4 linked regions of the Diceros bicornis minor genome follow. The protein of the gene in region 1 purifies or fractionates together with the protein of each later gene. This does not show direct contact. Links are inferred from orthologs where the notes say so. Each region holds a gene or a part of one and is shown in the gene's direction. Other genes may lie near its edges.

Region 1 (8,012 bases):
AGACCAGGTTATAAAGACGGGGATTTCTGTCTTGCTCACCCTCTCCTGACCTCTCACCCACTCACTCTGATGCGGCCACCTGCCGGGCTGTGAGCTGCCCGATGGAGAGGCCCACACGGCAAGAACTGGAGGTGGCCTCCACACGGTAGCCAGCAAGGAACTAAGGCCCTCAGATCAACAGCCCATGAGGAACTAAATCCTGCCACTAATCAAATAGTCACAAAAACAAACACAAGAGACAGTCTGTGACAATGTAAAGGAAGGACACCAGAGCTTATAAAAGTTGGATTTGCTCTCCTCTGAGAAGTCAGGGAGGGCTTCTCTGAGGAGGTGACATCCTTCCCTGAGGAAGGATGTCTAGATGGGTCTTGGCAACAAAGGGAGGGAAGAGTACTTCTGAGGTGGGAAATAGGAGATGCAAAGGCCCTGTGGCAAGAGGGAGCCTGGAAAGAATGAGAGACCGAGAGAAGGTAAATGTGTTTGAAGATCAGAGAGCAAAGGGGAGTTTGGTGTGAGATGAGTCTATAGGAGTCCCAGGCAGGGTCTCACGGGTCTTTATCCTAGGCACAATGGGGAGCCATTGAAAGGTTTTAAACTAGGTTTCCTACCACAGAAGGCAGAAGCAGTCTGACCACAGCATGCCTGGGACTTGATATTGTGTTTACACAGTGGGTTTTCCAAAGGAGGGGTTCAGACAGCTTTGGTAACCATGGAGATGGCTGTGTGGACATTAACAATTATGATAATGAAGCCACAAACTTGGGAAACTGGGTATTATAAATAGAATTGGTTCTGGGTGAGCTTTGAGTAGTCTGGGCTGATGAAAGGTGCTGGAAACCACATGATGCCAACACAAAGGGTCTGATGTTTGAAAAGGTGACCTGCCCTGTGTGTGAATGAAACGCAGGGACTGTGGCGCTGAGGGTTGGTCTCATAGCAACTCTGGGACCAAAGGGCCTTTCTTCAGTATTTCAAACAGGGTCCCAACGATGGGGGAAGGGACATGCACATAGGAAGAGTGTATGCTATCCACCAGGCACCTTCATGAGCAACAGCTTATTCAATCTTGATAAGCAATTGCCAAAGTAAAGCTAATTATCCTCGTTCCGAAGATGACGACTCTGAAACTCAGAGAAAGGATGTTTGTCGCTGCATGGCACAGTGTGACAGGCACTTATGGCTGCCTCCCCAGTGGCTGTGCCCAGCTCCCTTCCTCCTTGCTTACAGAGCACATCTCCACCTATAGGGGCTGAAAATGCCTGATCCTCATTTTTGCAGCTTCCTCTGCAGCTAAAGCAAAGACACATGGGCCAATTATGGCCAACGTCCTGTAGAGGAAGTCTGATGGGAGAGGAGCGATTTCCAGCAAAGGGTTTCTCCCAAATGTTTTTGTGTCTTCATATCATGTGTGGAACTCTGGTGGCCATCTTGTGACCATAAAGTGACAAGTGTAAGGACCAAAGCAACCTACTGAGGCTGGTGAAGGGCATGAATATATGAGGGTAGAAAGATGGAAAGACCATCGAAATCATAAGGTGACTGAAGGATGCCTGAGACTCTGTACTTCTTAAAATTTTGTTCTGTGAGATCATCAGTGAACTTGTTGTTTACCCAAGTAAGCTAATTAGTTGACTCATCTCTTACTTGCAGCTTCATATATCAAAACTGTGGCTGTCTACTAATTGTCCCCCATATAACTCCTCCCCTACTTCCTTTTAGTAATAATTCCCCTAAGTTTTAGCTAAGTCCATGGCTGCCCTGCTAGAGAATACATTTTCCAGCATCCTTTGCAGAGTCATGGGCCATGTGACTAAGTCCTGGCCAATAGGATGTGAGTGGAAGCGATGTGTGGAACTTTGGGCCACATCCTTAGCTGCTTGTTCTCTATGGCCTCACGCCCAACCTCCTCCTTGCCAACTGCAGAGGGGGACAAGGGAATAGACTCAGAGAAGGTAGCAATGGGTTAAGAATGACAGATCTGGACTGTTACATGAAAGAGAAATAAACATCTCTCATATTTAAGGCACTGTTTTTAGGTTACTTTATTATAGCAGCTTATCCTGTACCCTGCCTAACTAATACAGTAACCAAAATGCACAGCCATTCAGTGGTGGGACAAGTCAGAGTTCTTGTTGTAAGACACACAAACTGCCTTGCTCCTGCGTCTGAGCACTGGCAGCCAAGACATGGGGTAAACGAGGGGCTTCTATGGCAGGACGTGGTCCCAGTGGTCCCCTAGGACACCACACAATGGGGAAGGCCCCTTCCCCCCCGAATGGTGGTTGGATGATGGAAGTCTACTTACAATAGCTACTATATTAAGCTACTATATTATGCCCTCCATAAACAATAACAGTTTTCATTTATGGAATGCTTGTCATATACCTGGCATAGCTCTGTGGCTTTTACCTCTAGTTACTCATTTAATCCTCACAAAAACCCTCCAAGATAGATATTATCTACAATCTTATTTTATAGATGATAAACCAAAGCCCAGAGCAATTAAATAACTTGCTCTTCTTCAAACATGCCAAGCACACTTCTGCCCTAAGGCCTTTGCACCTGTTAGTCTGTGCCTGGAATGCTCTTCTCCCAGGAATCCATTCACGAGGCTCAAATGTCACCTTTTCCTTGAAGCCTTCTCAATCACCTTATTTAAAATCCTACCACTCCCCACTGCCCTGCCACCCTGCACTCTACTATCCATAGGGTGACCACATAATTTATCACCCAAACTAGCATGCTTTTAAGAGGGAAGGGGGGACACTTGTTATGCCAGGACAACAGGTTACAACTGGGGCCATCCCTGGAAAACTGGGATGCATGTCATCTTAGCCATCCCCCTTCCCTATTTTATTTTTCTCCATAGCACCTATTACCCTGGGGTATCATCCTTATTTATTTGTTTTTTTTCTGTTTCCACCTAGTAGAATGTAAGCTCCATGAGGGCAGGAATTAGTTTCCATTTTATTCACTGCTGTGTCCCAGGCGTTAGCGCAGTGCCTGGCCTAGAGTAGTCACTCAATAAATGTTTGTTGACTGAATCAGTGAGTGAGTGAATGAATGGGCATCTGGTGCTGATGGGTAGGAAGTCTCCTTCAGGGCCAGCCTTAGGCTCAGAAAGGGCTAGGGCCGAGAGACGAGCCCTCTCCCCACCATGCTCCGCTGCTTGGCTATTGTACCTAGAACCTAACTGCCCATTCCGCAGCCAGAAGTGGAGGCCTTGAAGGGCCATGCCTGTGCAGTCACCCCAGCCTCGAAGCACCTCCCTTCCAGCAGGAAGAGCCCTTTGGGACACTGCTTCTCCTCCTGCCCTTCCAGCTCCCAGCCTGTCCCCAGCACCAGCTTGCTCCAGCCACATGGAGCTGCTGGCCCGTCTCTCACCCAGCCCCGCCCTGTCTGTTCTCTCTGCCTGGAACCTGAGCATCCTCCCACGACTCCACTTGGTTGAGGGTGGAGCAACCTGGGAACCTCAGTGAGGGCAAAGGTACGGGAAGTGAGATATACACTCGACAGGAGTGTAAATAGGCACAAAACTGGACAGGGCAGTTTGGCTGATGGATCACATTTTAAAATGCTCATCTTCTACGTCCCAGAAACATCAATTTTAGAAAGACATCCTCAGCAACACTCATGCATGAGGTCAAGGATGCCCGGATAAGCCTGCTCACTGCAGCACTATTTGTGAGAGAGCAAAAAAAAAAAAAGAGAGAAAAACAAAACAAAACTGGAAGCAACTGTTTAGCAACAAGGATGGGGTAGCTCTATATGTACTGATATGGAAAACTGTCCAAGATAATTGCTTAGGGGGAAAAAAGCAATTTGCCAAAGAACGTGCAGTATGCTCTCATTTATATTGGGAAAAAGCCCATAACTATGTGTGAGAGTGCAGGTGTATCAGGAAAAAAATCTGGAAAGAAACTGTATACAACGGTTGGTGGTGGGACAGACTGATGACCATAGGCATTTTGATTTTTCGTGTGTGCAAAATTCTGTATTGTAATAATGATGTACACCTGAAATTTATATAATGTTATAAACCAATGTTACCACAATTAAAAAATAAATAAGTAGAACTAAAAAAAAAAATTCTGCATTGTAAGAGTTTGCTACAGCCTGTATTGGCTTTGCAATTAAAAAACAGATACAAACAGTAAGAGTTTGTCTGTTAATCACTCCCAATTCACCTTAGGTTCTATCTCCTCTGGAAAACTTTCCCTGATCCCACCTGCCCAGCAGCCCCACCATCCCCACCACCCTCTTTGAGTCTCAATTATTTTTTTCTGTAAGATGAGTTTTCATCATTTAGCCTTATTACTCCTTAATGCACTTAAACGGTAGATATTATTATCCCACCACTAAAGACGATGTTAGACTTATTGTCTACCTGCCACCCCCGACTCTGACTACCGTGAGCCCCTCTTGAGGGGAATTCAGGAGCCAACGGACGCAGACGTCCAAAGAGAGAACTCCCGGTACCACAGCTTCATAGGAGCCAGAGAGACTCCTGGAAAAAGCCGATTTCGAACCGAAGTTTTCCGGAAAGAGCCGAAGAGCTGGGAGGCGGTCACCAAAGCCGACCGCGAGAGTCACGGAGGACTTCGGGAGAGAGCCGAGGCGTGGGATGAGGGACTTACCGAGAGTTGCCGAGGGTTTACGGAGATAGCCGAAACGTGGGAGGCGGGGCCACAAGAGCCTTTCCGAGGGGCAACGAAGGCTTCGAAAAGAGCCGAAAGGTTCGGAGGCGGAACCGCTTCCTCAAAGCGGAAGTGTCGGCGTTCGAGTGGCCGCAGAAGCCCGAGGATTTCCGGAGCGAGCCGAAACCTCTCCGACAGGTTCCGGAGAGAGCCGAGGGATACCGAGGGGCGGCGCTGAGGCGCAATCATGGCGGCGGCTGGTGTTGCTGCGGCTGAGAAGGACGAGGAGCCCGCGGCGGAGGCCGAGGCGCTGGCCGCGGCCCGGGAGCGAAGCCGCCGCTTCCTAAGCGGCCTGGAGCTGGTGAAGCAGGGCGCCGAGGCGCGTGTGTTCCGCGGCCGCTTCCAGGGCCGCGCGGCCGTGGTGAAGCACCGCTTCCCCAAGGGCTACCGGCACCCGGCGCTGGAGGCGCGGCTCGGCCGGCGGCGGACGGTGCAGGAGGCGCGGGCGCTGCTCCGCTGCCGCCGCGCAGGTGAGGCGCCCGGGCGGCGCGGGGAGGGGGCCCCTGAGCCCGAGCCGCCATCTGCCTCAGTTTCTTCCTTCGTACCTTCTGCCGTATTTTGGCATTAGGAAATGCCCTTTCATGCCTGTCTGCATGCGTTCCTTCCTAAGCCGCTGGGCCTGCAGCGACGGGCGTTTGTCCCGCAGCCCTTGCGCCTGGTCGGTTCCCGGCCCTGCCACCCGTGCTCGCCGTCGAGCATGTTCTCCCACCGCCCCGAGCCTCGGTGTACCCGTTTGTGCTGCCTCGGTTTGCGATCGTTATCTTCTCATCCATCACTTTTAAGAAGCAGATGTAATTACAAGGACGTGCCCGGGAGCCAGGCTCTCTGGGTTCGGATACTGACCCCGCTGCTTCATATGGAGCCTTTCAACACGTTGCTTAACCCCAGCCTCAGGTTCCTCCTTGTAAAGGGAAGTCCTAGCAGCAGTAGCCACCTCGTAGGCGTGTTGGGACCATTAGATGAGGTGTGTATGCCGTGTGTTCGGTTTGGGTGTATGACTGGCACCTACCGCTCGGTAAACGTTAGATTTCATTAAATTCATTAAATTGTGTGTTTCTTCATTAAAGCATCATTGTGCACCACCACCGTAAGCCTTGTCCTCAGATGAGTTACTGAGGATCAGAGAGGGGAGGTAACTTGCCCAGGGTGACACAGCCAGGCGCTCAGCCCGTAGCCCTCTGACTCAGAAACACTGGCTTTTCACTTCTACACGTCCTGCCTTTCTTTCTTTCGTTGGTATATTTTAGGCGCCTGCTGTACCCCGAGACATTGTTAGGTGCTGGGAGATCTGGAGGAAATTCAGTAGTGAACAAGCAGACACATCTCTGCCCTTGCTTGGATGTAGTGAAGTTACTTGTGTGGTCATGTCTTCTGTTTTCACCCTCTGTGGGGGATAAGTTCAATTAAGCAGGGATGTGGCTGCCTTGTTTCCTGCAGTATCCCCCCCATATGTCTCCAGTATCTAGAAAAGTGTCCTGAACATGATGACATTCAATAAAGATTCACTGAGTCTTGGAGTTCAGTGAATTCATTGAATTATAGGCGGTGTTGTTCTCATAGTGTAAAAGCTGAAACAGAGGCTTGGAGAAGTTAATGCGACTTGAAGGTTATACGGTTACTGAGGAAAGGAGCTGGGATTTGCACCTGTCCTGCCTGATGCAGAGACGAATCTCTAGGCCAGCACACTGCGTGGCCTCCTGTTTGTGTCCCTGTCAGGCAGAACCTGCTCTGACCGCTCTGTTTTCTCTTCTGGCTCTTCATTTTGTTTTGTTTTTTAGGGGATGAGTATCACAGATGAAGTCCAATCATAAAGGGTGGGAAGGAGGAGGGAGCTGTGGCATTACAAACCGTAGCTGTGGGTGGTCTGAGGCACAGGCTTGCAGAGCATGAGCAGGGGAAACTTCCAGATGGGTTAAGTTGTACCATTCTGCAGCAGTCCTAAGTCGTCTTCCTGAAATAAGCAGAGATAGACTATAAAAAACAGGCTCAATCTTTGAAAAGTAAGCTTACCATTAAAAAAAAAATAAAAAGAATCTAATCCAATAGCCACTTGTGTCTTGATTACAGGGATATCTGCCCCAGTTGTCTTTTTTGTGGACTATGCTTCCAACTGCTTGTACATGGAAGAAATTGAAGGCTCCGTGACTGTTCGAGATTATATTCAATCCACTATGGAGACTGAAAAGACTCCCCAAAAGCTCTTCAGCTTAGCCACGACAATCGGGCAGGTTTTGGCTCGAATGCACGATGAAGACCTCATTCATGGTGATCTCACCACCTCGAACATGCTCCTGAAACCCCCCCTGGAACAGCTGGACGTCGTGCTCATAGACTTTGGGTTGAGTTTCATTTCAGCACTTCCAGAAGATAAGGGAGTTGACCTCTACGTTCTAGAGAAAGCCTTCCTCAGTACCCATCCCAACACCGAGACTGTGTTTGAAGCCTTTCTGAAGAGCTACTCTGCCTCCTCCAAAAAGGCCAGGCCAGTGCTAAAAAAGCTGGATGAAGTGCGCCTGAGAGGAAGGAAGAGGTCCATGGTTGGGTAGAAGAATGTGTGTGACAGCTCCAGACAGCTAAGCTGTTTACTTCAGAGTAAATTTGAAGGAATGCTACCAAGTTGAGATTAGATCTAAATAAAGTTGTTGAGGTATTTTTAGGTGCTGTCTGATAATGCTTGTTAAGTGTCATTATCTCTGCGGTTGGCTGTTAGCAAGAGCTTACTGTGTGCATAAGACACGTTCTAGGCAGAATTGGGTATTTAAAATAAGTCTAGGACAGGCTTATACCTCAGGTTTGTGGGCAGGCCGTTATAAAACTTCAAACCACATAAAGAGAACATTATTCTCTTCAGTCCTTCTGGTGAGACAAGGACAAAGTCTCAGTTGGTGACAGTATGTCTTTATCAGCCCTCTAACGCAGCATTTTTTTTTGATGTGTTCATGACATATTCCTCTTAAAACCAGTATAGTGGGATAGAACCAGTATTTTAAAAATGAAATAGAATCAGAGACTAGAAAATATCATGTGCATTATATGTGGTATTGTAAGTATTCTTTCATGAAACTTGTTTCAAATGTATATAGACAAGGGTCTATACTGGGTTTTGATGTAAAATATATATATATTTTTTTTTTGGTGAGCAGGATTGGCCCTAAGTTGACATCTGTTGTCAGTCTTCCTCTTTTTGCTGAGGAAGATTAGCCCTGGGCTAACATCTGTGCCGATCTTCCTCTATTTTGTATGTGGGATGCCTGCAATAGCATGGCTTGATGAGTGGTGTGTAGGTCTGCGCCTGGGACCTGAACCTGCGAACCC
Region 2 (7,387 bases), on another chromosome or scaffold:
AATTTCTGCATTAAATATCTTCCCCCCAGGAGCTGGTCTTTAACTTTCAAAGTACAAAAAATTCACGCCTATTAAAGGGATACTTTTTCCAGGATACAGGGCAAAAATAAAATTTATTTTTTGTAACTTCTTTGTAGCAATTGGGGGAAACCGAATACACCCATTTAATAAAATGGTGACACAAGTTAACTATAAGTATTAATTAATTATCAACCTATGTAAACTGATGTTGGCCTAGAATTTGAAAGCGCTTCTTAATGCCCAGCTGTGAAAGCCAAAGCTCCCAGGTTACCAGGAGGTAAAAAGCGGGCAAGAAAATTGCCTAAAAATAAGTTTCAAAGGAGGGGAAAAGCATGACAGTTTTGGCAATTATGATCGAACAATGCAAAATCCCTTACTTTCTCTTTCATTTCTGTTATTTCACTAAAACTTATCATATAAGCATAGTTTTTATTAGCCAAAAAGCAGTAAAAACTCCTGTGTGCAACTAGCCCATATTCATTATTATCAAATTATTTATTCAGTTTTTTTTTTTTTGTGAGGAAGATCAGCCCTGAGCTAACATCCATGCCAATCCTCCTCTTTTTGCTGAGGAAGACCGGCCCTGAGCTAACATCTGTTGCCAATCCTCCTCCTTTTTTTCCCTTTTTCTCCCCAAAGCCCCAGTAGACAGTTGTATGTCACAGTTGCACATCCTTCTAACTGCTGTATGTGGGATGCTGCCCCAGCATGGCCGGACAAGATGTGCGTCGGTGTGCACCTGGGATCCGAACCCGGGCCGCCAGTAGCGGAGCGCACACACTTAACCGCTAAGCCACGGGGCCGGCCCCATATTTATTCAATTTTTAGTCATACCCTCTGCTTTAAAAGTCCTAGAGCATGAGTACAATCAACATAACTAAACCTGAATCACTTCAAAGAACATTCGCCCAAACCTTTCATATTAATTACAATCTATACTGTAGGCTCTGAACAGGTTACTTAGCTTTCCAACAGGATAAAAACTGGAATACAGTCTAATATTGATTTGCCCATTTGCCAAGAATAAGCATAAGAACTTCCTTTGTGGAAAATATTTGATTTTTACCCACTCTGGCAAATATCAATCTCAGCTACTTTCAATGCATCTATAGTTACAGTGCTTACTTACAGGAAATAATTTGCATTCCAAATTTTTAAACTTGCTGTTTCCACAATCACAACGAAAATTTCTGAAACAAAGGAGGAAGAGCCAATTTTAATTTTTCTTTTAAATCTAATGACCTACTCTTTAAGTTCATATCATAGTCTCTTCCCTTTCAACTCATTTTTGGGATCTAAAAAGTGGCCTTGGTTGCTGTTCATGTATCCAATTTGGAATTTCTCCAAGCACATAACGATAAAAGATTTAATAATTCTTGAAATTAACATGCATAAAGACAAATATCTGTAACTTACACGAGTAAAATAATGGCATAGAAGGATGAGTAGTTTCAGTTTGTTCCATAATTGTATTTTAAAAAGCCCTCTGGAAAAACTCTTCTGTCCAATTATACTATATAAGACAATTACATTAAATTTTACCCGTGCACAATTACTTTGAATGGAAAAGCAAGATTAAGAAAAAAATGCAGCTTGGAAAGAATCTAAACATTTAAAAAGCATTCAGCACCAATCTCTAATTGTCTTTACCTTTTTGTGTATAGTTCAAATAGTTTATGACTTCCATGGCATTCATAACTGCAAGCTAGGCAAATTCCTGCCGGTTCTTCTCCCTCTGGAGTGCAAGTACTACAGGCATACAGTGCTTGTCTCTTTACTGAGCCCTAAAAGACAGCCCCAAAATGGAAAAAGAGAGAGAATAAATTAATTAAATATGGCATGGTTACCTAATACCCATAATGTGATCTGAGAAGTAACTGAAATCAGATTATGTGTGGTCAAGATCTTCCTGTAAAAACCACTAAGACTAATAAGAAAGCTTACACGAGAGAGTACCAAAACATTGTTGCATGTTTCAGATCACTATATATTTACTACATTAGTGCTTGTTTTCATACAATTTTTTCTTAAAGTGATAGGAAGTTTAATATTCTCAGTCAGCTATGAATAAGCAGGTCTGTTTAGTGACTGTAACACATGAAAATGTAGGAGAATGTGTGTAGGTTTATGTAAGGAACACCACACTTTAATTTCGGAAAATGCTGTGATTCCACCAAAGAGAAAATCAATGCATTAAAAGAATCCCTTTGAGGGGCTGGCCTGAGGGTGTAGCAGTTAAGTTCTAGTGCTCTGCTTCGACGGCCCAGGGTTTGCTGGTTCAGATTCTGGGTGCGCACCGAGGTGCCGCTTGTCAAGCCATGCTGTAGCGGCATCCCATATAAAATAGAGGAAGATGGGCACGGATGTTAGCACAGGGCCAATCTTCCTTAGCAAAAAGAGGAGGATTGGCATCAGATGTTAGCTCAGGGCTAATCTTCCTCACACAAAAAAAAAGAATCCCTTTGATATTTAGGAGATGCATGCTGAAGTATTTAGAAGTGTAGTGTCATGATATCTGCAACTTATTTTCAAATGGTTCAGCAGGAAATAGTATATTACGAAGAAGAGAAAGATTAAACAAATGTGGTAAAATGTTAAAAAGTGAATATGTGTAAGAGGTACAAAGGTGTTTCAACTTATCTGTAGATTTAAAATGTTTCAAAATAAAAAGCTGAAGGAAAAACAGGCAAAACTTTTAGAAATCTTGACAATGGTTACCCTCCTCTAGGAAGAAGGGAGACACAAGGAAGCTTCTGGAATGCCAGTAATGTTCTATTTCTTGATCTGGGTGGTAGGTAACTGCATATGTGTGTTTGTTTTTCAAGCCCTACACATGTTCTGTGTAATTTTCCATACATTTTCCTACAATAAAAAACGAAAACGTTAAGGAAGTCTGTTTTACAAAGCTAACTACATTTCAAAAATAGCTCATGTACAGGCTTTTTTTAAAAAAGGAAAGCAGAGAAAAAGTTGTTTTGGTGGTGACCAAACGTTTTAAAATACCAGCCAACACCTGGGACTATCTCTAGATACCAGGTGCTTTCAAAAATCTAACCATTTGGCAGTGTAAGCTTGACTGGCCAATGGTGACAACTGGTATTATGATCTCAGTCCACATCACATAATGACCCCAAGTCTCTCTCCTCATCCCCCAATGTTCCACTCCACCCCCCTGGAAAGTAACATTCTTCCTCCTACCAATTCTCATCCCTTGTTAGTTTTCTTCTACCCACCTTTCTCCATTTTTGTACCTAGAAATATCGGATGAGTCACCAAACACTACATCACACCCCCTCAAATCCTTGTTCACATCTTCCAAGTGCCAAATTTCCTCTTCAAGTAGCTCCTTCCCTCTTCCCCTCTCCTCTTTTGCCAGTGCCACCTGCTGTCCTGGTTCAGGTCCATCCCCATGGGGGGCAGACGGCAGCCAGACACAGTACTTGCTTCGTCTCGCCAAAAAGCTACCAGCTAGCACTTGTCAAACTAAATTGCAGAGGAACTAGCTGTCAAGGAGCCCAGCCCACACAGGGAGATTTTCAAATCCAGACCTTTCTCCTTTAACTCTGCTTTCACTCTCCCATTCGGTTCCCAATAAATACTCTTAGGATCGGAAAAGTAGGGACAAAGATGTCTGAATTGTGAGAGGTCACGGGGATGGTTTCGTAAAAAGCAGCCGGGCGCCGAGAAGAAACGGGAGAGGAAGGACAGAGCAGCTGCTCCAGGGCCAGAGCCTCGGGAATCCTGAGGGGCCGGACGGAGGCAGACCGATGGACGAGGGGGCTTCTGCTGGACAGGGGCTGAGAAAGGGGGCCCAGGGGCTGAGGGTAAAAGGGCAGCTGGGCCTGGCATGGGGGAGCCTACGAAGAACGGCGGCCCCGCACCAGCACGGGGGAGCCGGGCCGCGGCAGGCGGGAACAGGGCAAGTCCGGTCGGGAAAAGGAGGCTCAGCGGAGCCCGGGGGAGACCACGCCCGGGCCGCGCGCCCACCTGCGAGTAGGAGCACTTCTCGGAGTCGCTGCCGCCCAGCACGGCGCACGCCTCGTTCTCTAGCTCCTCGTCCTCCTCAAGCACGTCGACCAACGATACCACGGGCTCCAGCTCCGACTGCCGCCCAGCATGCCCCTCCGCTCCAGCCATGCTCAACTGTCACCAGGACCGCCGCTCTGTCCCTGCGGAGGCGGGAAAAGCGGCCTCGAGGGGGCGTGGCCGGAGGAGGCGGGGCCTGAGTCCCAGGAACCAATCCCAAAGAAAGGAGGTGAAGGAAGGGGGAGGAGCGACTTCCGATGAACGGAAGTTACTCCCCTCCCTTCTCCCGCCCGCGCCCGCCGTAGGCTGGCTTCCGCTTCCGGGTGGCGCATCCTTGTGACGCGCTCTGGAAACTCAGCGGTCGCCATGGAGCTGTTGGGCGAGTATGTTGGGCAGGACGGGCAGCAGCGGCAGCTGCGGGTGCCCTGTGAGGCGCCCGGCGACGCCGACCCTTTCCAGAGCCTGTTGTCGGGAGTGGCCCAGATGAGGGAGCTGGTGGCCGAGCTCTTCGGCCCCCTGGTACAGCGGGAAGCGCAGGACAGGGAGGCGGTGGCACCGGACGAGGCCTTGGACGGTGAGCTCTGAGACGGTGTGGAGCGACAGGAGGGCGGGGCAGGGGCGCCCGTGGAGAGTGGCAGACTTGGAGAAAGTGAGCCTCAGGGGAAGAAGTTTTTCCTAAAAGACGTTGGCACTTTCCGCTGTATTTGGGCTGATTAATCTGGGCTGCTTCTTACCCAAGCGTTTTCGCGATTCTTCATTTATATCACAAAAAACGTGCTGCACGCCTCCTGCTAGGTGTCAGGCATGGGGCTGAGCCCTGGAGAAAGAATGAGGTGAAGGCGACTCGGTTCCTTTACCTGCGAAACTCTCACTCTGGTGAGCGGTTAGACAGGTAGACACTCTGGGTAAAAAGGGCGAGTGTGACCCCAGGGCCTTCTGTAACTGTTGCAAACCCAGGGAACCCCGGAAGGCTTCAGAGAGGGCGTGACTTTTAAGCTGGCTATTGAAGGATGACAGGGAGTTTTCCCAGGTGTGAAATTACAAACATGTTTGGAAGGCTGCCATCTATCGCAGAATAGGAGCAGGTTCCGAAGATTGGAACAGATTTCAGTTGAGCAAGTCTGAACTCGCAGGGACTCCTTCCCTTTCTCAGTTTTGTTTGTGAAGTTTGAAAGTCAAAGCGGGAAATTTAGCTGCATTAATTTTTTTTTTAAGTCTCATCTTAAATACAAAAATAGGGACATTTGATTGCCCTGAGCTGAAGAACCTAAAAACTGAATATTGGAGTCAGGACTTAGCTTTTTTGTAGAGGAGCTTAAACTGTACTGTACTTTTTTTCTTTCCATCTTGTTTTCATCTTGATAGTTTCAGATAATTTGAAGGAGCCAATTCAGAACATTACACCAAGTTCAGACAATAGGTTGTTTCCATGAGAGTGAAATCCTGTTTCTTGCTTCCAAAATACCTCTCCTAATCTGTTGAAAATATTACCATTGGCATGAGAATGAATATAGTTAGAGCCATTTAAAAAAAAATTTTGTCATTACTTACTGCAGAAATAACTGCCACCTGTTCTGTTAATGGTGTAATGTCTTTGTATAGATGGACATGTTTTTGTATCTTTAAACAAGTCCCCATAAAGCTTAGGTTTGGATTTCCATTGTTAAAAGTGACAGAGATTAAAATGACGAATTTTAACTTATATGAATATACCAAGTTTTAAAATTATAAGACTTACTAAAGAAAAGTGACAGAACCCAACACTAAAAAGACAAATAATCCATCTACCAAATGTACAGAGGATTTGAATAGGCAGTTCTCCAAATAAGATATACAAGTGGCCAATAAGCACATGAAAGGATGCTCAACGTCATTGGCTATCAGGGAAACGAAAATCAAAACCACGATAAGATACCACTTCATGCCCACTAGGATGGCTATAATCAAAAAGAACAATAAGTGTTGCTAGGATGTGAAGAAATTGGAGCTCTCATACATTGCTGGTGGAAATGTAAAATGTACCTTCTTTGGAAAACAGTTTGGCAGTTCCTCAAAAAGTTAAACATGAAGTTACTGTATGACCCTGCAATTCCGTTCCTAGTTCAAGGGAACTGGAAACATACGTTCACATAAAAACGTATGCATGAATGTTCATAGCAGCATTATTCATAATAGCTAAAAAGTAGAAACAACACAAGTGTCCGCCAGCTGATAAGTGGATAAACAAAATGCATGTTGATACAATGGAATGTTATTCAGCAGCAAAAACCAATGAAGTACTGATAACTGCTACAATGTGAATGAACCTTGAAAACATGCTAAGTGAAAGAAGGCAGACACAAAAGCCCGCATATTTTATGATTCGTTTATATAAAATGACCAGAATAGACAAATCTGTAGAGATAGAAAGTAGATTAGTGGTTGCCAAGGGCTGAGAGGAATAGGAAGTGGCTGCTAAAGGGTGTGGGATTTCTTTCTGGGATGATGCAAGTGTTCTAGAAATTAGTGATGATCAGTTGCTCAACCTAGTGAATATACTAAATCAATAAACCTTATACTTTAAAAGAGTGAATTTTATGGTATATGAATTATATCTCCAAAAACAGTGATAGAAAAGAAAGGTTTTAAACACCAAAATTCCTGAAATCTTTTTTTTTTTTTTTTTTTTTTGTGAGGAGATCAGCCCTGTGCTAACATCCGCCAATCCTCCTCTTTTTTTGCTGAGGAAGACGGCCCTGGGCTAACATCTGTGCCCATCTTCCTCCACTTTATATGGGACGCCGCCACAGCATGGCTTGCCAAGCAGTGCGTCGGTGCGCGCCCGGGATCCGAACCAGCGAACCCCGGGCCGCCGCAGCGGAGCGCGCGCACCTAACCGCTTGCGCCACCGGGCCGGCCCCCCTGAAATCTTTTTAACCATACATATTTCAGATCTGATATATGCATGGTTTTATTAACCCCTAAAGTGAAATGGTCTCATTATCAACCATTTTAGCTATCTATATTTCTTTCAAGCACTGAACATATTGTCATACAACAAATATTTATTTTAAAAGGTGATGATGAAGATGATGTGGAAGATGAAAATAACATTGATAACAGAACTAACTCAGATGGACCATCTGCAAAACGGCCGAAACCACCATCTTAACAATAGCTTTTATGAAGTTTAAAAGACTGCTACTATAACTTAGTTATCTCATACTGACATTTAAAGAAGACTTGTGCTCTAATTTGGAAAAGCATTTGTTTTGTTCTCCTGGGACAGTTTTGTCAAGGAACTGTCTTGTCTGTTTCCATCAAAAAAAGATATAATAAATGTTTAGAAATGTATCTGTTT
Region 3 (8,245 bases), on another chromosome or scaffold:
GATGCCCCTGTAACTGTCTCCTTATCTGCAAAGTGACTTCCCAGCGGATTGCCTGCCCTAGGCCCTATTGGTAAGAGGCATAAGGTGGGGAAGGGCATTTTCCCTAGTGAGGAAAATTGGAAAGCTAAAAAAAGGATGAATGTTTATAGAGAAGGTAAAAGTGAGAGAGCCTGGTGTTTTTTTAGAAGGAGAAAAAGCTAAGGACTATGGTGTCTCTAGAATGTCATAGCCATCTTTCTCATCTCTCAATAAAAAGATTGGGATGAAATGGTTTCCTTTAGGAGAACGGAGAGTCTCGGGGACTGGGAGAATTATCCTAAAGTAAAAGAGGAATTAGAGACCTGAAGTTTAAACAGTGCTCTTCTTCAATGATTCTCTGGGGTACGGTTGGGGGGCAGAGCCTTAAATGCACAGAGAAGTAGATGAACTCAGAGAGGCAGGGAGTAGGGGATGTGAAGGAAGGATAGCGTGGGGATCCTTAGGATTAAGAATATTTTGAACATAGTCTTTTTCTCCTGTACAGCAAAAGAATCATCAATCTTGGGCCTGTGCATCCAGGGCCTCTGAGTCCAGAACCACAACCCGTGGGTGTCAGGGTCATCTGTGGACATTGCAAGAATACTTTTCTGGTGAGGAGAGATATTGGGAAGCCCTGGAAAAAAGAAAAACAAGAGTAATCATGAATATATTTCTGAATGATGATAATGAATCCTGAAAAGGTCTGTTCTATGAGGACCTATTTCTCACCCTCTCCCTGCCCTAGGGCTCTTATTGAAGATGACTTCTACTATTAAAGCTTCTACTATTAATTGCTTTCTCCCTTTTTCTTTCTCCATAGTGGACAGAGTTCACAGATCGAACCTTGGCCCGTTGCCCTCACTGCAGGAAAGTGTAAGTGATTAAAGAGTGGCATCGTTGGGCTGGTAATGGGGTAATGTGTAGAGTGAAAACTACAGGGTCATTACAAGCGTCTATTTCTGTTTGGCTCCCCACAGGTCATCTATTGGGCGCAGATATCCACGAAAGAGATGTATCTGCTGCTTCTTGCTTGGCTTACTCTTGGCAATCACTGCCACTGGCCTTGCTGTGAGTAACCTTGATCAGACCCTTCATTCTTCAGCCTCATCTCCACAGGCTAAGATTTGGGAAATGGCTACTCCCCAAAAAAGTGAAACTGAGGGCTGGGTTGTTTTGTCTTGTTTTAATGTGCAGATGAGCTGAAGTTGAACTAACTGATAAACAGTCCTCGCTGTTACTAAAGGAGTAAAAACCAGCCATCTTTTTTATGCAGAGGATAGGACAACAGAGAAATGGCTTAAATTAAAGAGTTGGTATTAGGAAACCTAAGATATTGAGAAAATCTGACAGTTGTCTAGGATTGTATGAGTTATGTTCCTGCCTAGGAGGAGGGAGCTGAACAACTGGGCCTTTAAAAAGGTCCCTGAAGGTGCCTACATGTGGACAGGGAACAGGAACTGAAGCTTGAGTTCTGTGTTACTGTTACCGGGGCTCCTAGAAAGTGGTGAGAGATCAGCAGTAACCCCATCTTTCTTTTTCTTCTTCACCTTCATCAGTTTGGCACATGGAAGCATGCACGGCGATATGGAGGCATCTATGCAGCCTGGGCATTTGTCATCCTGTTGGCTGTGCTGTGTTTGGGCCGGGCCCTCTATTGGGCCTGTATGAAGGTCAGCCACCCTGTCCAGAACTTCTCCTGAGCCCCATGACGACCCACAGACTGTGCCTGGCCCCTCCCTGGTGGGGACAGTGACACTACAGAGGGAGCCGTGGTAAAAGGCTCCCCAGGGCTTCTGTAAGAGGAGCCGAGCAGCTGCCTTCCTTTTCCCTGGGGAGAGGTAGGAAGGAACCAGGCCCTCACCTAGGTTTGGAAGGGTAGATAAGACCACTGCTGGCCATCTGCTTTCCCCCAGGGGTTGCTGTTGAGAGTGAAGTAGGTGAAATGTTGCCCTTAAACCTGGGCCCTAAAAGACGGTTCTAGCCTCGTTCTTCCTATGTGCTCCCCAAGAGCCATTCCTGTCCCTTACACATTCCAGGGCAGGGTCGGGGTGGGTAGCCCTGGGGGTTTCCCTCCCTCTTGTGCACTCTTAGGACCTTGCTGCTGCTATTGCACTTCACCAGGGGCTGGCTCTGGCCTCAGTACCCTCAGTCTCCTCTCCCCCCATTCTGTGTCCTGTGGGGGTGGGGTCAGCTGCTGCTCTGTACAGAACCACAGGAACTGATGTGTATATAACTATTTAATGTGGGGTATGTTCCCCTAGTCCTGTGTTTTCCTTCATTCCTCCTAACCTTACCTCTCAGTTGCAGTATTTAACTGGGCTGGGTAGGGTTCTTCTCTGTTGGGGGAAGTTAGGGACTCATCCTGTGCTTGTAAATAAATAAGGTTATGACTGTCCTTTTCCAGTTGTTAATCTATACGTATGAAAAGATGAGGAGGGGAATTTGTAGCCCTACAAAGGGGTAGAATACAAAGACAGCAAGGCTGAAACTATGGCTCTTTATTTTCACATGGACAGGTCAAGGAAGTCATCAGTAGCTTTTGTTTAATGTAAAAAAAAAAAAACCCGTCAAAAACAAAACCAAACCTCTGGCTTAAAGAAAACCTAAGTCTGTCACTAGGAGCCTGGTTGAAGGATTCATATTTTCACAAAGAAAATACAGTGCAGATTTCTCTAGAGAGCAGTTTTTAAAGAAGTTTGGGAGCGGGGGTAAGAAGTTTTAAAGCTAGTTTGGGGGGCTTATTTCCCAGGCTCAAAGTGATTTGGGGGAGGTGTCACAGTGCTAGGTATAGGGTGATGGGACAGTGGTCACTGCCCAGGGCCTTGGAACGGATCTTGCTGTCACACAATGCAGGTAACAGAGAGTGAGACAACAAAAAATAATCAAGGCGCCAACCAACATTTTTGGAGCGTGCATTCATCATATAGGTCCAAAAGGTGTAGGCATAGGCCGTGTCAGGGTAGAGATGCCGGAAACTGTCAGCCAGTGGCACAGCCTGCAGCAATTCCCCAAAGCCCTGACGCTCTTGTGGCGTGAAGCCAGCATTCTTTTTGTTTCCCTTGGGGTTACGAAGGTCAATTTCTTCATGAGCCACATTGAGATCCCCACATAGCACAAGGGGCTTGCGGGAAGCCAGGCCCTTCAGGAACTTGCGAAAGGCTTCGTCCCAGCGCTGCCGGTACTCCAAGCGCACCAGACCCCGGCCTGCATTAGGTACATAGGCTGTTACCAGCACAAATGCATCAAATTCAGCCACAATCACTCGGCCTTCCTGATCATGTTCCTCCTCACCTACAGAAATGATGAAACAATCAGAATAAAGAGGTATAAAAGGGAAAACAGAGAATAAAGGAATCAAGAATTGGGGCTCAGTCGGGTATTAGCAATTGGTTTGAAAGAGCTCAGGCGTTAGGAATCAATAGGGTCTCACCAATGCCATAGGAGACTTTGAGTGGGCACTGGCGGGAAAGCAGGCCCACACCACTGTACCCTTCCTTGTCTGAAGGAGCTGACCAGTACTGATGGGATAGTCCAGACAGCTCTTGAAGTTCAGCTGGTAGTTTGTTCTCTGAACATTTGGTCTCTTGGAGGCACAGGATATCTGGGGCTTCTTCCTTTACCCACTGAGTGAAATGACAGGTAGAAAAAGTATCATCAATTCAGCAGACATTTATTGAAGAAGTTATGTTCTAAGTACTAGAGATACACAAGTGAGACAGTCCTTGTGGAAAAGGAGTGTAACAGTCTAGGCACAATATTTAAATAATTTAAACAATGATAAATTATGTAACTGCCACTGATGGAGGGAGGTAGGGAGAGTGGTACAGGCAACACTGAGATGTGGTTTTCTACAGGCAATGGATAGCCAGCTGAGATTTTTAAGCAGTAATTTAAATGGAGGATATGCTGGAGATAAAATGGAGCAAGTCCAGTAACAAGGTTTTTGCAACATGCTGGGGAAGAGATGAGGACATCAAAACAATGCTAAGGGAATTGAAGGAATGGACCTTTAGGAAATACAACTGGTATGAGTTGGTGAAGGCCCTCCTTGTGCCTCTCCCCCAAGAAAACTACCAATAAGGGAAAAATAAAACCTACATGCTTGGGACTAAAATGAGAAAAGGCAATTAAACCCGTAGATCATTCAATACTAAAGGCTGTCTCTTCCCCTCCTTGAATTGCACTCACATCTAAACCTTTCTTCTTAATCCAGGCTCGAAGCCCATCCACATTCCAGGAGCAGATCTTGAGTGTGGCTGATTTGCCACTGGGTGAGGTTTTGTGATCTGGGGGGTCCTCATACAGGACTGGTCCCTCTCCCGCTGCCTCTTTTTCGTTTTTCTTTGCTCCTGCCTTACTCTTCTTGGCCTCTGGCTCTATAAATGAGTAATACATAGTGATAAAACTTGGCGGTATTTAATTTTGATCCAGAGTTAACTACAGACCCACAGCCTGCAGTTGCCGCGCCTTTTTCAGAAACTCGGCAAAAATATATTTAGTCTGGCCTACTTCCGTTCATCGGAGCAATTAGAAACACCCCATCGCAGCCTCTAGGGAGACGGGCTCATTTCATTCTCTTACCAGTCTTGGGCCCTTCTCCGTCTTCTGCCACCGCTCCCTTTTTCCCACGCTTCGGCATCACTGTAACAAACGCCCTTCGGCACCCGTTCCGCGTCGCCCACCGAATCAGTATTTTTACCGCGTTGCCTACAGACGCAAAGAAATCATGAAACCAGCTGAGGCTGAGGAAAAAACTCCTCCCTCGGGCGCCCTCGCACTAGGTCCCGCCTTTGAAACCATATTATCTCAGAATCCTTTCCCCGCCTCCGCGCACTATAGGCCCTTCAGCCCCTCACCCACAAGACTAGATCATTCTATACTGCCTTGTACCCTCCTCGCGAGATCTGCCCTCCGGCCAATCCAGGGCCTTAATTAAGGGTGCCGATTTAGGCTGGCCGATCAGACGTCCAGAGAAGCCCCTGTGATGGGCAAAGAACAGCAACCCCGGATCTGACCTCCCCGAGTCCCAGCCTGGCTCCTCCTCACCCGAGCACAAAGAATGCAGCACGTTGTGGCCCCACGTGGGTAACTGGCGTGGTCACGTGTTCTGAGGTATGTATTAGGTGGCGGAGGAATGCTGGTGATTGGTTTGTCTGGCACCACATGACGGGGCAGCTCGGCCTTCCCGCCCTTCGCCCTGTCTCCCGGAATCGGAAGGACCTAACCCTCCATCCTCGGGCTGTTTATCGGTGTGCCAGATGCCCGACTCATTCTGCCACCTTGGCCGAAGACCCCAACACTGTGCAAGAGGGAGAAAATCAGTGGAGAAGCCTGGGCTGAACCGCGGGAGAGAGGCAGAAGAACGGATGGGAACGTACGGAGGAGATGCCGGCTCAGCGTCTCTGGCAGTTAGGAGGACAGGTCCTTGAAGGGGCCTTGACGGGTCGCCGTGACACGGGGGCGGGGCCGGCGCGGGCGCGCCACCCGCAGGAGTACTTTAGTGTCTGTCTGTGCGCGCCGCTACCTAGCGGCGGCTTGCTCGTGGTCTTTCTTTGCGCTCCGGAATCAGCGACCTTGCAGGGCCTGGTGAGGGCTCCGCGGATCCTTTGGCAGCTAGGAGCCCTGCCGGCATTTTCTCTCAAGCTTGGCCATGCCTACGGTGCTGGGTTTTGAAGGCAGCGCCAACAAGATTGGCGTGGGAGTGGTGCGGGATGGCACGGTGCTGGCGAACCCGCGGCGGACCTACGTCACGCCTCCGGGCACAGGTGCGTGAGTAGTGGATTTGTAGTTTGCGGCGCGCTTCTCTGCACAGCATGACCTTCCTCCTCCTCAAACACTAGTGACATAGGGAGTGGAGCGCATTGTCCGCTTCGTAGAGTTTTGATCCGAGTCTCTGAGATTCTGACAGTATTAACGTCACAAGGCTGATAATAGAAGAGTCGCAGGCACTTGGACCTGGATCTTTTGGGTACATTCAGCTTTTATTGAGTGCCTTTTATGTGCTAATAATCAGCTGGCTGCTAGATACAAAAATAGGTGTTGTGAGCCTGCTATGGAATCCGACATATAAACAGAACTTTACAGTACGGTAAATAGTGTAATATAGATGCAATCAAAATATTCTAGAATGAGAAGAAGTTTAAAGACTCTCAGCTTAGGTGTCAGACAGAACTGGCTGGCTTTGCAGTATTCATGTTCAGTATTTGTTTTTGGACTTCTGTTCCTTACTCTTAAAATGGGAATAATAATAGTACCTGGGTCATTGGGTCTTGAGAATTAAATAAAAGTACCAGACACATTGCACTTGTAATAAATGTTATTTGTAAGTTATGATGTTACGTCTTGCCTATCCTCCTCCAAATTACCTGCATACATAGGGAAGGGTAATTGACTTGCATATACCTGAAAAGCCTCCGTGAACAGGCGATGTTGTGACAGGTTACTCATTAACAATACATGTGGGGCTGGCCTCGTGGCTTAGCGGTTAAGTGCACGTGCTCCGCTACTGGTGGCCCGGGGTTCAGATCCTGGGCGCACACCGACGCACCGCTTCTCCGGCCATGCTGAGGCCGTGTCCCACATACAGCAACTAGAGGGATGTGCAACTACAACATACAACTATCTACTGGGGCTTTGGGGGAGAAAAAAAGGAGGAGGATTGGCAATAGATGTTAGCTCAGAGCCGGTCTTCCTCAGCAAAAAGAGGAGGATTAGCACGGATGTTAGCTCAGGGCTGATCTTCCTCACAAAAAAGAATAAAATAAAATGAATAAAAAACAAAAGTAAAAAAAAAACAAAAACCAATACATGTGTATGTTTAGCACTCACTCGTCTAAGCATTTTGACACCAGGAATACAAAGATAAATAAAATAGCCAGTGCTTTGAGATGCTCATGGTTAAAACTTGGGAAACCACAGATAATTATAATGCTATAATAGTTATTTGTTAAATACAATGATGTGATCACGCACAAGGTTCTGTAGGCTTGCAGAGAAGATCTCCAAAGGCTATGAGATAGGTGTCACTTGAATTAAGTCCTGAGGGCTGAGTAGGAGTTGAGTATGAAGAAGGGCATTTCTGAGAGCTGTTCAGCATGGCTGAACAGGCTGGAAGAAGTAGATCTGAAAACCTGGAAGACAGGATGCATGAGGAGAGTGAAAGGGACTCTTCTTACACTACTAAAATGCCTGTTTTTTACTTCTACCTACCTTTGCTATAGAAAAGCCCTATGATCTCTGACCTGTGTCCATCTCCTAGGATTCCTTCCAGGTGATACTGCCAGGCACCACCGAGCCGTTATCCTGGACCTGCTGCAGGAGGCACTAACAGAGGCTGGATTAACCTCCCAGGATGTTGACTGCATTGCCTACACCAAAGGTATGGCTGGGAGCGTGGTCGCCAGTGGAAGAATATACAGGCATACCTCAGAGATATTGCAGGTTTGGTTCCAGACCACTACAATAAAGCTAATATCGCAATACAACAAGTCACACAAGTATTTTGGTTTCCCAGTACATATAAAAGTTATGCTTACACTGTACTGTAGCCTATTAAGTGTGCCATAGCATTATGTCTGAAGAAAACAATGTACGTACCTTAATTAAAAAACACTTTATTGCTAAAAATTGCTAACCATCATCTGAGCCTTCAGCAAGTCATAATCTTTTTGCTGGTGGAGAGTCTCGCCTCCATGTTGATGGCTGCTGACTGATGATGGTGGTGATTGATGATGGTTGGGGTGACTAGGGCAATTTCTCTTTTTAGGGGGGTTGGGGCTGGGGCCCAAGACAAGCCCTGGCCAGGTACTCACTGTGGTCACCCTGGTTCTGCCCCTTCTCTCTGAGGGGCAGTTTCTCAAAATAAGACCAACAATGAAGTTTGCTGCAGCAATTGACTCTTCCTTTCATGAATGGTTTCTCTGTGGCATGCCATGCTATTTTGATAGCATTTTACCCACAGTAGAACTTCTTTCAGAATTGGAGTCAGTCCTCTCAAACCCTGCTGCTACTTTATCAACTAAGTTTGTGTAATATTCTAAATCCTTTGTTGTCTTTTCAACAGTCATCACAGCATCTTCACCAGGAGTAGATTCCATCTCAAGAAACCACTTTCTTTACTCATCCATAAGAAGCAACTCCTCATCTTTTAAAGTTTTATCATGAGAGAAGCAATTCAGTCACATCTTCAGGCTCCACTTCTAATTCTAGTTCTCTTGCTGTTTCTACC
Region 4 (6,593 bases), on another chromosome or scaffold:
ATGCTGAATTTAACCTCTAGGCCAGGGGGCTGGCCCCTCTGATGCTTTCCTTCTTTCTACAATTGTTAATTGGCATTTCTCTATGAAGAGCTTTCCTTTTCCCCTGCTCTCTTTTCTCAATTATCATGGTGGATGCATCGTTTTTTTTTATTCAACAACTTAGAATCCAAGAGTGTCATTTTGGGGTCATTTTTATTGGTCTACAGCATTCATGCAGTACTGTGCATAAATCATATCACTGTACAGTGCAATGGACCTTTAAAGTGAACACCCTATGTATCTATCCTCTCCAGACTGAAATAGAGAATACCACCAGCACTCCAGCACCTTCCCTGGTGCCCCCTCCCAGTCATGCTCCTCTCCAAAATCGTTCATATTCTTTTAGATGCTCAAGTTGTTCTAGCTTTGCTTCTCTCGGGTTAGTTCCTGAGTCCCTTTGACATGCCTCATGCTTCTGTTGTTCAAGCACTTCCTGACTTTCTGGCACTACAAGGTGCTCCAGGCTCAGCTTGTGTATTTCTTACCCCAGCCCTAGAATCCACCATTACTTTTTTGTTTTTTTTTCCCCCCAAAGCCCCAGTAGATAGTTGTACGTCATAGTTGCACATCCTTCTAGTTGCTGTATGTGGGATGCAGCCTCAGCATGGCCGGAGAAGTGGTGTTTCAGTGCGCGCCCGGGATCCAAACCCAGGCCGTCAGCAGCGGAGCGCGCGCACTTAACTGCTAAGCCACGGGGCCGGCCCGAATCCACCATTTCTCCAGGGAGCTCTGGTCCTTTGAGTGGAGAACGATACTGAGAAACCAAGGTCTGAGTGCAGGGTGTGTTCATTGCTACTGGGGTGTCACTGCTTCTAGACTTTTTCACTGGCTCGAACTAGGAAATATATATATATATATATATATATATATTTTTTGTGTGTGTGTGTGTGTGTGTGTGTGTGTGAGGAAGATTAGCCCTGAGCTAACATCTGTTGCCAATCCTCCTCTTTTTGCTGAGGAAGATTGGCCCTGGGCTAATATCTGTGCCCATCTTCCTCTACTTTATATGTGGGACGCCTGCCACAGCATGGCTTGATAAGCAGTGCATAGGTCTGTGCTCTGGATCCGAACCTGTGGACCCTGGGCCGCCGAAGCAGAGCACGTGAACCTAACCACTATGCCACCAGACCAGTCCCAGAAATATATATTTTTATGAGTTCATACTGCGGGGCCGGCCCAGTGGCGCAAGTGGTTAAGTGCGTGTGCTCCCCTGTGGTGGTCCAGGGTTCACCGGTTCGGATCCTGGGCGTGCACCGACGCACCACTTGTCAAGCCATGCTGTGGCGGCGTCCCATATAAAGTGGAGGAAGATGGGCACGGATGTTAGCCCAGGGCAAGTCTTCCTCAGCAGAAAAAAAAAAAGAGGAGGATTGGCAGATGTTAGCACAGAGCTGATCTCCTCACACACACACAAAAAAGAGTTCATACTGCAATCCCTAATTCCAATCCAGCATCACAGTTCTTTCTCACCTTCCCCCATTCCACAGTGAGAATTCGGGTTCTCGACATCCATATATTTACTCTTTTGCTCTACCGGGTGGAGTCTATGTTAAAGCACACCCCAAAGAGCTCCACACTGACCTCATCACTACCATTGCCAACGACGAACATACTAAGAGGAAAGCCAATTCTTTTGGTTCTTAGAATACATCCCATGAAAGCAGTCCAGTCAGAGAGCTGAGTTGAAAGGCACCTAAATTGTTTTCTGTGTGGTTTTGTTATCAATTGGATATGCAGTTAGGCTCATTTGTTTTTGTTTTTATTCAATTTTAGCATTTGATTTTTTTCACTCTTTCAAATGTATTTTTGACCACATAAAATATTCACATGGTTCAAAGTCAAAAGTACACAAAAAGGTATATTCCAAGAAATCCCATACCCATCTGAACACCCTAGAGGTGACCATTTTCATTAGTTTTGCGTTTCTTCTTCCTATGTCTTTTCTTTTTTTCCAATAAGCATGTGTGTGTCCTTTGCACTCTGCTTTTTTCACATAACAATATATCCTGGAGATCATTTTATTTTTCATTAAAGATTTTCATTCTTTTTTACTGCTGCTTAGGACTATTGTATGAATGTAGCATAGTTTATTTCACCAGTTCCCTGCTGACAGACATGTACCTTGTGTCCAATAGTTTTCCATTACCAATTATGTTACAGTGAGTGGCTCTGTGAATGTGTTGTTTCATATTTGTGAAGTAACATCCTACATGCGGGATTGCTGGTTCCAAGGCAGTGCTCCAGTTTTGTACTTAGTTAATACTCTGTTTCATTCAACAAACAACAAAGCACCTACTGCATAAACTGCACTGAACACATACCAGTGATGATATATCAACAATACAGAAGAGAACAAAACGAAATTATAATTTCAGATTATTAGAAATGTTATGCAGCAAATTGAAATGGGCAAATATGAAGAAGCGTGCTGGGGGTAGTATGTCAGATTGGTGATCCAGAAGCCCTCTCAGAGGTGACATTGGAGCCAAGATCCTAATGACAAAAAGGAGCTAGCCATGGGAGAGTTTGGGGACATAGTCTTCCAAATAGCAGAGTAAGTGCAAAGGGCTGAGGGCAGGCCACCCTTGGTCAGTAGCAGAGAGAAGGCCCCAGAGGCTGCAGAGAATGAGAAAGCAGGCAGGTGGGGTCGGAGGAACTGGGAGCCAGGTCACACAGGGCTTTTATAAGCTATGACAGGGAGTTTGGATTTGATTCCAAGGGCAATGGGAAATCGTTTTAGGATTTTAAGCAGGGACATGATATGATGTGATTTATATTAAAAATTAAGAACCGATTCTGTTGTGTAGAGAACAGGCTGCAGAGGTGCAAGGGTAGAAGAAAACCAGTCAGGAAGCTGTTGAAGGAGTTCAGAGAGAGACGGTGGCTCCCACAGGGGACTAGCAACGGAAAGGGAGAGAAGTTGGCTGATTTAGCATCTATTTTGAGGAGAGAGCCAACGAGATTTGATGATATAGTTCAGATTCATGTCCTTCCTTTTGATTCCAAAGGAGGAAAATAGAAAAGCAACGACAATCACCACCAAAAATTTCATGTCACTTTAAAAACATATTTTTTATTAAAAATGTCATAAAAGATTACTGTCAAAAATTTTGAGGAGGGCCGGCCCCGTGGCTTAGCGTTTGAGTGCGTGTGCTCTGCTGCTGGCGGCCCAGGTTCGGGTCCCGGGCGTGCACTGACGCGCTGCTTCTCTGGCCATGCTGGGGCCACGTCCCACATGCAGCAACTAGAAGGATGTGCAGCTATGACACACAACTATCTACTGGGGCTTTGGGGGAAAAATAAATAAACAAATAAAAAAAATTTTTTAAAGTTTGGGGAAAACACAAAAAAGTTAACAACACAATCCCATCACATCCAGATAACAAGTGTTTACATTTTGCTGTATTGTTCTAGGATTTCTATGCATATAGACAGTAATTTCCCTAATTGGGATTTTAGTGATTTTAGTCTTGCATTCTGATGGTTCTCACTGCCACTACTTTATTTCAGGTCCCTATCATTTGTCTTCTTGCCTCCATGGGGGCCTCCCTGCTGGCAGGCTTGACCTCCACACGGCCCACTTAGTGATCTTTCTAAAAATAAAATCTGATGGGGTTGTTGCCCCCTTTAAATTCCCCTTTGGTTTCTCCACCTACATGGCCAATGGGGCGGGGTGCAGAGCAGTATCCCTCGGGGACTATCCAATTCCACCTCCCTCCACAAATCACTGCCAGGACATCGAGCCACATCTCTTGGGGGTATTGGCTCTGGGAAAGAGATAGGGCGGGAAACCGGCCACACATCTGGCGCCCTCACACGAGGTCTTGCGGGGCGGGGGGGGGGGGCGGGGGAGCGAGGTGGCGAGGCAGGACCGGTTGTGCAGGCGCGCTGGGGTCACATGTCGTTCTAAGGGGCAGAGCTTCATGAAGGAGCATTCATTGGCTAGGTAGCCAACGGGATGTCTCGGGGTGTGGCAGGCCTGGCTGGGCGGGAACCTGTCGTCCTTCCAAGGAATCAGAGGGTGTCTGTTTGCGCAGGCGCTGTGGGGATCCCCCGTGGCACTGGGCACTAAGGTGCGGAGCTTGGTGAGGGACTGCTCATTGGCTAGGTAGCCATGGGGTCTCCCGGGGCCCGCGGGCGGCAGGGCCTGCTGGGCAGGAACTGAGGCCTCACTAGGGGCCTGTTTGTGCAGGCGCCCTGGGGTCGAGTCATGCGCGAAGGAGTGGGGCTTCTGCAGGGAGCCTCAGTTTCTCAGCAGCCAACGGAGTCTCCGAGAGCCTCCAGGATGGTCGCTTTGGCGGGAATCCACCACGCGCCCGGCGGCCTCACTAGGGCCTGTTTGCGCAGGCGTGCGGGGCGGAGTCAGCGTGAGGGGGCGGAGCTTTGGGAAGGAGCCACAGTTCCTTAGGCTCCGGCAGAGAGGGCGGAGTCGAAGGCGGAGCGCGGCGGCCATGCAGGCAGCAGACGCAGGCGCAGGCGGTGCGGCGGGCGGTGCCGAGAGCCAGGACCGCGAGGGTGGCCACGGCCTCCACGGCGGTGCAGGCGCGGCGACCGCTGCAGCCGGGGGAGCTCCGCGTGTTACGCGAGCACAGCACGCCCCAGGGCCAGGTGGAGACGCCACATCCACAGCCAGAAGGCCAGAAAGCCGACTACACATATTGTATCCTACCGGAGGGGACAGCGGGGAATGGTCTGGGGGCTGCCTGCGGGCGGGGAATGACGTGCAGAGGGACAGATGGGTCGGTGGCAGCCTGGGGGCGGAAAGGGGAGCGGGGGGGAACCGGGGACGGCTGGGGCTGGGATTGGTATGGGGGGGAAAGAAATGAGAGTAAAGGGGAACGGGGTGGCTGGGGAGGACTAGGGCCACGGGTGGTCTGGAGGGGGTGGAAGCAGTCCTGGAAGGAGTGAGACTAGTCAGGGTGGTCTGAGAGGGGTCCCGAGGCACAGAGTCTTTATGGATGGTGCCTTAACCGAATCTCCAGCGTCCTCAGCGTGCCTTTCCCGTCCCCCTTGGAGGCGGAGATCGCCCATGGGTCCCTGACCCCAGATGCGGAACCCCACCGAGGGGCGGTTCGGAAGGAGCTCACAGTGATTGGCAGCGTCCTGGCGGTGTAAATTCTCGGGGCTGGGTAGGATTAGCAGCGGGTGTCCAGGCCACCTGGGGCGCTCTATTGGAGACACGGAGACACGGGTTAGGTCTAGAGAGGGGACATGGTCCGCTAGACCCGTCTCCGTCTGAGGGGGCGCTCTAATGCACATAGCAAAGGATTCGGTGTAATGGATGCCTGAGAGGCAGAGCGAGGAAGGGGAGGAGTTACCGCGTCCAAATTGATTTTCTTTTCCCCTCACTTTAGCCGCTGGAAAGCTGAAGATTCTCGCCTCCTCCGAATTTCCATCATCAACTTTCTTGACCAGCTTTCCCTGGTGATGCGGACCATGCAGTGCTTTGGGCCCCCTGTTTCCCGCTAAGCCTGGGCTGGGAAAGGGGGCTAAGGTCTAACCTCCTGTCCCTTCCAAGGCAGTGCATCTTTCCTAGGCGGAAGATTGCTGCAGTCGCTGCCACTTTATTATGGGGCCCTGATGTTTTGCTTTTACTGGCCTTTGGGCACTCAGGGTCCACTTGTTTCGTTTGGTGATTCAGTGTTCATTACAGCAGAAAATAAAACTGAGCAGCTATTCCGTGTCTGAGTTCCTTTTCAGCTACTGCACCTCCTAATATTCTTGTCTTTGTCCTCATGGTGCGGGGGCGGTTCTGGGATTCAGATAGTCCAGTAGGACAAGGCAATTGAAGACAATTTAGGAAATGGAAGAAGGTGGGTCTTGTCATTCAGTATTAACTACTGTCAACATTTTGGAATATTTTCTTACTTTTATACTTGTATTTCTATAGTAAATAATAATATATAATGCATGATATTTTGCAAGTTTAGGATTTTTCCTGATATTTTTCATCTAATATGAACTTTCACTCTTTCTAAAAATTCTTCAAAAGCATTATTGAATAAATGCATAAAAGATAAATTGTAATTATTGAACATTTAAATTATTATTTTTGTGTGTGTGAGGAAGATCAGCCCTGAGCTAACATCCACGCCAACCCTCCTCTTTTTGCTGAGGAAGACAGGCGCTAAGCTAACATCTATTGCCAATCCTCCTCCTTTTTTCCCCTTTTTCTCCCCAAAGCCCCAGTAGATAGCTGTATGTCATAGTTGCACATCCTTCTAGGTGCTGTATGTGGGACACGGCCTCAGCATGGCCGGACAAGCTGTGTGTCAGTGTGCGCCCAAGATCTGAACCCCGGGCCGCCAGTAGTGGAGCGCACGGACTTAACCACTAAGCCACGGGGCCGGCCCCTAAATTATTTTCAATTTTTGCCCTATTATAGGTAATGATTCAATGGAATTCTTGTATATAAATCTTTGCATTGGGCTGGCCCCGTGGGTTAGCAGTTAAGTGGGTGCGCTCTGCTGCTGGTGGCCAGGGTTCGATCCCGGGCACGCACCGATGCACCGCTTCTCTGGCCATGCTGAGGCTGCGTCCCACATACAGCAACT

The links.
Region 2: the proteins of TP53RK (region 1) and GON7 purify together in Homo sapiens (affinity purification with mass spectrometry; 5 studies listed by BioGRID and IntAct, counting the BioPlex papers as one, with this or other methods). This does not show direct contact. The link is inferred for Diceros bicornis minor from reciprocal best matches to the Homo sapiens genes TP53RK and GON7.
Region 3: the proteins of TP53RK (region 1) and OSGEP purify together in Homo sapiens (affinity purification with mass spectrometry; 5 studies listed by BioGRID and IntAct, counting the BioPlex papers as one, with this or other methods). This does not show direct contact. The link is inferred for Diceros bicornis minor from reciprocal best matches to the Homo sapiens genes TP53RK and OSGEP.
Region 4: the proteins of TP53RK (region 1) and LAGE3 purify together in Homo sapiens (affinity purification with mass spectrometry; 5 studies listed by BioGRID and IntAct, with this or other methods). This does not show direct contact. The link is inferred for Diceros bicornis minor from reciprocal best matches to the Homo sapiens genes TP53RK and LAGE3.

Annotation. Positions count from the first base shown.
Region 1 is NC_080758.1:14,772,764-14,780,775, forward strand, and holds the start of TP53RK (EKC/KEOPS complex subunit TP53RK), read left to right. Parts: upstream 1-4,853; 5' UTR 4,854-4,884; coding exon 4,885-5,167; intron 5,168-6,764; coding exon 6,765-7,243; 3' UTR 7,244-7,260; exon of another isoform or gene 7,261-7,353; intron 7,354-8,012.
Region 2 is NC_080763.1:38,867,803-38,875,189, reverse strand, and holds the start of GON7 (EKC/KEOPS complex subunit GON7), read left to right. Parts: upstream 1-4,379; 5' UTR 4,380-4,413; coding exon 4,414-4,621; intron 4,622-7,103; coding exon 7,104-7,198; 3' UTR 7,199-7,387. Other genes in the region: putative E3 ubiquitin-protein ligase UBR7, read right to left, coding at 1,151-1,211, 1,672-1,805, 4,009-4,158. UniProt on the Homo sapiens protein: Component of the EKC/KEOPS complex that is required for the formation of a threonylcarbamoyl group on adenosine at position 37 (t(6)A37) in tRNAs that read codons beginning with adenine.
Region 3 is NC_080744.1:28,852,290-28,860,534, forward strand, and holds the start of OSGEP (tRNA N6-adenosine threonylcarbamoyltransferase), read left to right. Parts: upstream 1-5,142; 5' UTR 5,143-5,668; coding exon 5,669-5,783; intron 5,784-7,276; coding exon 7,277-7,396; intron 7,397-8,245. Other genes in the region: PIP4P1 (type 1 phosphatidylinositol 4,5-bisphosphate 4-phosphatase), read left to right, coding at 1-70, 524-629, 839-891, 996-1,086, 1,575-1,718; APEX1 (DNA-(apurinic or apyrimidinic site) endonuclease), read right to left, coding at 2,792-3,309, 3,449-3,641, 4,207-4,394, 4,600-4,657. UniProt on the Homo sapiens protein: Component of the EKC/KEOPS complex that is required for the formation of a threonylcarbamoyl group on adenosine at position 37 (t(6)A37) in tRNAs that read codons beginning with adenine.
Region 4 is NC_080781.1:138,416,470-138,423,062, reverse strand, and holds LAGE3 (EKC/KEOPS complex subunit LAGE3), read left to right. Parts: upstream 1-4,038; 5' UTR 4,039-4,112; intron 4,113-4,231; 5' UTR 4,232-4,490; coding exon 4,491-4,699; intron 4,700-5,021; coding exon 5,022-5,150; intron 5,151-5,393; coding exon 5,394-5,508; 3' UTR 5,509-5,715; downstream 5,716-6,593. UniProt on the Homo sapiens protein: Component of the EKC/KEOPS complex that is required for the formation of a threonylcarbamoyl group on adenosine at position 37 (t(6)A37) in tRNAs that read codons beginning with adenine.